2 linked regions of the Nothobranchius furzeri genome follow. The protein of the gene in region 1 interacts with the protein of each later gene in a pairwise test. Links are inferred from orthologs where the notes say so. Each region holds a gene or a part of one and is shown in the gene's direction. Other genes may lie near its edges.

Region 1 (3,085 bases):
ACTGTGCCAGCAGTGGCCTCATCTCCCAGCTGCTCGGAGAACTGACGGGGGATGATGTTTTGATTAGGTACCACTGTTTTTATCATCGATAAATTACTTGTGTGACATCCTTTCATGCTTTCCCATCCTCTCTTGTCTATTTATTTCACCAGAGCCACAGCAGTAGAGATGGTGACCAGTCTGGCTCACAGTCAGCATGGCCGGCAATATTTAGCTCAGCAGGGGATAATGGATAAGATCTCCAACATGATCAGAGGAGCAGAAATGGACTCATTTTCTTCACTCTACCTTCCAGGTAACAATTTATATCCGTTTCAAACTTAGCATAAGCTAGAAACACTTGTAATTAATTTGTAGTTATTAAATGTGATTTAACTGATCCAATACATTAAAGTTGGTTAAAAGGGGAGAAGAAGTCACAGCTTTGTCTAAATGGTCAGTATTAATTAAGGAGGAACACAGAAGGTTCTTACCATGGAAGTTGGACTGGTTTTAGGTTTGGTGAAGTTCTTTGGGAACCTGGCCATTATGGACAGCCCACAGCAGGTGTGTGAGACCTACCCAGCCTTCCTGAACAAGGCGTTGGAGATGGCCCTTGATCCGGACCCTGCCATGATCGGCGTGGGCCTCGACACTTTGGGCTTGCTTGGGTCTACAGTTGAGGGGAAGCAGGTTCTACAGAAAACAGGTGGGTTAGAGGCATTTGTGAATTTATTATTATTATTATTTTTTAAGAATCATGATTGTTTCATTTGTATTAATGTTATTTTAGTTAAAAGGGACAGATAACATAAGTTTTTCTTCTTTCTGTCCCCTTTTTCATTTTGGCTTGTAGCAATTTTTTTCTGTAATTTTATTTTAATGTCAATAAATGAAAAATGAAATATATATATAAAAAGATTGGTTTACGTATAGTTTATTTTGAAAGGGAAATTAGTTGTATATTTAAATTTCTGTGATCTTTTAAACTTATTAAAACTTAAGAACTCTAATTATTAAAGCCATACTTTGCTGCTTTATCATGTTTTAAAATCATTTTCTTGACCCAGTATGTGCTAAAATAATCCTTTACAAGGTTAATGAAATGTCACTCAGACCCCGCCCTGTGGCCAGAATACTGGATCTGCAGCTTCAGACTGGCAAGGTGCTCTGTTGGGACTTAAGAAAAATAGAGCTGACATACCTGGTGCTGCAGTCTGCTTTCAACACATTTCCTGCATGTTTTAGATCATGAACACAGCTGGTTTGTTTAATTCAGTGACGAGTCACTCCTGTGGACACTAATGAAGGCTGGGAGACATTTCAGCTGTTGGATTAAGGTGTTAAAAAGATGAACGCACAGAGATGAGATAAGTTTTGCTTTCGGTTTGACCAGAGAATTAATAACGGACAGTAGGGGGTGGTAAAAGCAAACAAAACTATGAAGTGTGCCTTTAGACTTCTATACCATTTGTATCTTGTTTGATACACAGATTTTTTTAGCCTCTAAAACTTCTACGTCTTTAATACAATTAGTACCTGCTATATAGGTTCTAATGCTTTTTCTCTGCACTCTGGCGGAGAATCTGATCAAACATTGTAAAATGAGTGACGGCATTATCAAGTCAGTAGTCCTCACGGGACACAAATATTGGATTTAAAAAAAAAAAAGAAAAAATGTATAGTGTGTATGTGTATATGTATGTGTGTATATATATATATATATTTTTTTTTGTGTGTGTACACCTAAACATTAGTCCACAATAGACATTGTAGCAAAACCCTGAATGTAAAAATATTACTAAGTGTTGATTTACATCAACAGCCTACAGAAGAGACAAAATTCAGTATTGTAGAAATGCAAGTGGGGGCCACACGAAATCACTCCACCGGGCCTGTGGCTGCACTTTTGACATGTGTGATCTAGAAAATATAGGATTACATGATAAAATATGATGTATACATTTATTATTGCATTATCGTCCAATAAACTGATTAAACAAATAAAATAAAGCATTCTTTTTCATACATCTGAATTTAAAAGGGTAATAATAGGGATGCACACTGTATCATCGGCCGATGTTTGTCATGTTTTTAACATCATATCGGTTCGATAATAAAATGCAATTAAAATTATATAGATATATGTATGTATAATAATAATAATTAGGGATGTCCCGATCAGGGTTTTTTGCCCTCGAGTCCGAGTTATTTGATTTTGAGGATCTGCCGATACCGAGTCCCGATCCGATACTTTCGATACATTAAAGAAATGGAAGAAACAGTTCCAGAATGTTCCTTATTTTTTATTTCATTACCTTTTTATTTTAATTTTTAACTACAGATCACTTCTGTGAGGTAGCTTTAACAATCAATAAATAACATAAATTCTTCACTTTTGGACTTTATTGCAAATATAAAAAGTCTAATATAAAAACAGATTGCACTTCAACTTAAAATACCTGGCAGGGGTCTATTTAGCCTCGGCCCCCAAAATGCTTAGATACGTCCCTGGGCGTGGGACGGAGTTTTGAAGATGATCTGAATTGTATCAGCTATATAAATACTACATGCTGATAAATTATTGCTTTATACAGGTACAAATGTGTCGTGGGATAAATCTACCTAAATTTTATTTTTTTAAGAACTTTGTTTTGTTTTCTTGGGTTTTATTTTCTTATCATCCTGTCCTGTCTGTCTCTGATCTTCCTGCATCTCCCAGTCCTCCAAAAAAACTCCTGCCTGCTTCCTTCTTTTCACCTCACAAGTAACTTTTTAACTAGCAGATCAAATTGATCTATTGACCGCAAAAAAAGCGGAGTGTGCGCTGCGCTGCCCGGCTGCGCCAGTGACGAGCGCTGCAGCCGGGGCAGCGTGAGCGCGTCCACACGTCATGCTCAAATACAGACAGAACTTACCAGAGAGAAAATGAACGGACACGAATGACTGTGTGTTAATTGTATATATTTTTGGTGACACCACTTAGAAACTTAGAAAATGTTACTGTGGCCGTGTGCAGAACGCAGCTGGAGTTCATGAATAATCAGCGGTCTGCCTGCAGCTCTCTGCATCTCTGCTCAAAAGAATCCCCGCTACTCTGAGTCCA
Region 2 (3,831 bases), on another chromosome or scaffold:
TTCGCTAGGTACTTTTAGGATTAAAAAGTCAAGAAGGGGGTCTGAAAAGCTGCTAGAAATAGCGTCAAAGTCGCTAAGTTGGCAACACTGTGAGGAGCGCTTCATTTGCAACTTAGGGCAGCGCAAGCGGGAGGAGCAAATAATCGGCTTGTTATGTTTTTTATAATCGTTCAAAACTCAGATCGTAATCGTGATTAAAATTCGATTAATTGAGCAGCCCTAAATTAAAGAATTATTTAGTATGGCTTGCCAGGCTACAAAATATATGATTAAGAAAAACATGTGAGCAGTTACATGATTCATGACTCTTAAGTCCATGTGTGCTCTGATCTCCTTATATCAGATTAGTCTGATATGATTCTAAGGAAAACTAGTCACTTTACTTATTACAGAGAAGTGCAGTGAGTAGTGAGAGCTGCAGAGAGGATAATTTGTACCCCACTCCCAGCCCTAGTAGACCTCTACAAAGATCAGTGTGTCAAAAAGGCAACGACATTCGGCAGGACCTCCCTCACCCATCACAACACCTCTTTTTACCCCTGCCCTGTGGCACTAGACTACACAACATCTGGGCCAGATCATCCAGCCTGCAACAGTGAGGCCATCATATCAAAAATAACAATTAAACATCAACATCCAAACTAGATTTATTTCCACTGCATCTGATGTGGATCTGACTCGTTAGTATATTTTCATTTATCCACAAAAGGTGTCAATTTTCATATTATAGTTGTGTTTGATGATCGTTTGTTTCTGATTTTCTGTGTGTGATGGCCATCCCATGTTCTCAACCATGATGGTAATTTCCAGTGAGACTGTTAAAATAACACTATGCAGGGCATCCACGGGTTCTTGACTTTGATTTAAGGAAAATTAAGACCCTTAAAAAGTCTTAAATCAGTTTAGTAAAGTCTTAATTGCTGAAGTGGAAAATGAAGCGATGCAGTATTTAAAAAGCTTATACGATTAGTTTATTGCGATAGTCTTTATAAAATTTTTGTTTTTACAAGGTCCTAAAAAGTCTTGAATTTTGAGATCCCTGCCCTATACCCTGCTGAAGAGGATTCACATTGAATTATATGTTGTGCATTTTGAATTTGGCAGGCATCAAGGAGTCGGACACAGGCTTGGCTCCACCAGCCCTCTGGGATCTGGCTGCTGACAAGCAGACCCTGCAGAGTGAACAGCCGTTACAGGTAGCGAGGTAAGCAAGTCGTTCGTTGTTAAAGGTACTAAGATTTTTTTTTTATTTCTAAATGTAGTTTGTTTACGGGAGCTCAAAACTGTAATCTGGGGATAACTTATGGCTCAGTGTTACAAAACTAGTTAATTACGTGACTGTTACCATGGTTACCAACTATTTGGAGTAAATCAGTACACCATAACGCTTGATTCAGTGTATTCATATTAATGCTCTGATGTTTTCTGTTTTCCTCTTTGATGTGACCAACTTGCCTCGATGATCTGAGCAGATGACTTGTGTGTCAGCTCTAGTCAGTTTTAATCAGAGGCATCAGTTCACTTAGTAATCTGGTAACCAGTGTCAGTGCTGCTGGTTTTAGATGGAATAAGTTAAGCTAGCTAACCAAAGGCATCTTATAATGTTATGACCCTTCTGTCAAATGTGGGTGAAATGTCTCATTGTTTAAAAAATTGTCGTGTTTTTTATGCGGCTTCAGTTGCTAAAATGTGAACTCTGTTCTTTTGTGAATTTTCCCTGTTGTTCAATCAGATGCACCAAGATCATCAATGCAGACTCTGAAGACCCCAAATACATCATCAATGTCAAACAGTTTGCTAAGTTTGTGGTGGATCTGAGTGACCAGGTGGCTCCGACTGACATAGAGGAGGGCATGAGAGTCGGGTAAGGCATAAAAAAGCTGCAGTTGTTTTAAAGATTCGTTCCTGCAGTCTGATAAACACAGTGTTCCTTCTGTCTCTCAAGGGTTGACCGCAACAAATACCAGATCCACATCCCATTGCCTCCGAAAATCGACCCCACCGTCACCATGATGCAGGTGTGTGTGTAAACGATTATATAGAAGTATGTCTGGTGTAAAAAGCAGTGACTGACGGGGTCTTTGTAGGTGGAGGAGAAGCCTGATGTGACTTACAGCGATGTTGGTGGATGTAAGGAGCAGATCGAGAAGCTGAGGGAAGTGGTTGAAACTCCTCTGCTTCATGTGAGTTTGACAGCCGTACTCGGGTCTGGGTGTGAAACTAAACTCGGCTTTATAAACAACGTGGTTAACCACAAAACAATCTGTGCCCTGTAAACGGAGCTTTTCATTTCATTTAGGCATTCTTTCTTCATCAGAGGTGAGCTAACATATCTGTCCTCTCTCCACCAGCCTGAGAGATTTGTTAACCTGGGTATTGAGCCTCCTAAAGGAGTGCTGCTGTTTGGTCCCCCCGGCACCGGAAAGACCCTGTGTGCCCGAGCTGTGGCCAACCGAACTGACGCCTGCTTCATCAGAGTCATCGGCTCTGAGCTGGTGCAGAAGTATGTGGGAGAGGTGAGTCCTCCTCCGGCGGCGGCAGGGGGGCAGTTAGCGTGAAAAGTTTTCGTTCCTGACTCTGTTTGTGTTTCCAGGGAGCCAGGATGGTCCGCGAGCTGTTCGAGATGGCCAGGACTAAGAAGGCTTGCCTGATTTTTTTTGATGAAATCGATGCTATCGGAGGTAAGGATCTTATCTGTGCTGTGATTCTCACAAATCCTTCGTTTTTGCAGCTAGTTTTGTCCAAAAGGCTGTTTTTCGAGCCATCTTCTGTTTTTGAACCTGCCAGGTGCTCGCTTTGATGACGGCGCTGGTGGCGACAACGAGGTCCAGAGGACCATGCTGGAGCTCATCAACCAGCTAGACGGCTTCGACCCTCGAGGCAACATCAAAGTTCTGATGGCCACCAACAGACCCGACACTCTGGACCCGGCCCTGATGCGACCGGGACGTCTGGACAGGAAGATTGAGTTCAGTCTGCCTGATCTGGAGGTGAGATCATAAAACAAGTTATTTCTTCTGTGAATCCAAAAACTTTTTGAGATAATTTCTTTTCTCTCATGAGAAATGAGCTCACCCCTTCTGTTATGTGTTCCAGGGTCGCACCCACATCTTTAAGATCCATGCCCGCTCCATGAGCGTAGAGAGAGATATTCGTTTTGAGCTTTTGGCCCGCCTCTGCCCCAACAGCACCGGTAAGACTCATCCCCATCTGTCTACTGTAGAAACGGTTCTGTCCTACCTCCTGGTAATGATTACAGAATACCTAGTTGTTTTAGATGGATGACTGGATGAATGTATCGACCATCAGCAGCAAACCCTTAGGTGGTTTAAGGAGCTTTTTTCTTTTCCACCTAATTTTTTATACTTCTCAGTTTCAAGAATTTTAAATTTGAAGTGTACACATCTAAATGAAGCCTGAATGCACTAAAACACTCAGCTCCTCCCGAGCGTCCCACCGATGCCCACCTGCTTTTACGTTCTAATGTAATACGCAGTTTATTTGTTTAAATTAGAAATTATGACACGTCTCACCTTTATGTTGATATTGTTTTATTTGATGCACTCCACTTTGAACTGCACCAATCCAGCAACTGCTACATTTTATTAACTAGTATTAAAGGTGAATACACCAATATTTGCACAAGAATTATTTTTGTTTTAAACTCTCAGTGACACACTTTGCAGGGGGTGATTTGGCATTTAATTTTTCTTGGCGTCTGGAAAAACATCTCCTTTTGCCCCCTTTATTTTGGTCCAAGATCATTACTGGGCTGGCCCTATTAAAAACGTTCTACACCCCTGCTTAGTAGACTTAATGAAGTATTTTTGA

Evidence for each region.
Region 2: the proteins of psmd5 (region 1) and psmc2 interact in binary tests that used the Homo sapiens proteins (3 or more experiments, as listed by UniProt). The link is inferred for Nothobranchius furzeri from reciprocal best matches to the Homo sapiens genes PSMD5 and PSMC2.

The regions. Positions count from the first base shown.
Region 1 is NC_091746.1:60,974,682-60,977,766, reverse strand, and holds part of psmd5 (26S proteasome non-ATPase regulatory subunit 5), read left to right. Parts: coding exon 1-67; intron 68-152; coding exon 153-295; intron 296-496; coding exon 497-688; intron 689-3,085. UniProt on the Homo sapiens protein: Acts as a chaperone during the assembly of the 26S proteasome, specifically of the base subcomplex of the PA700/19S regulatory complex (RC).
Region 2 is NC_091741.1:59,234,326-59,238,156, forward strand, and holds part of psmc2 (26S proteasome regulatory subunit 7), read left to right. Parts: intron 1-1,104; coding exon 1,105-1,204; intron 1,205-1,732; coding exon 1,733-1,864; intron 1,865-1,945; coding exon 1,946-2,018; intron 2,019-2,087; coding exon 2,088-2,183; intron 2,184-2,351; coding exon 2,352-2,516; intron 2,517-2,593; coding exon 2,594-2,681; intron 2,682-2,787; coding exon 2,788-2,990; intron 2,991-3,096; coding exon 3,097-3,193; intron 3,194-3,831.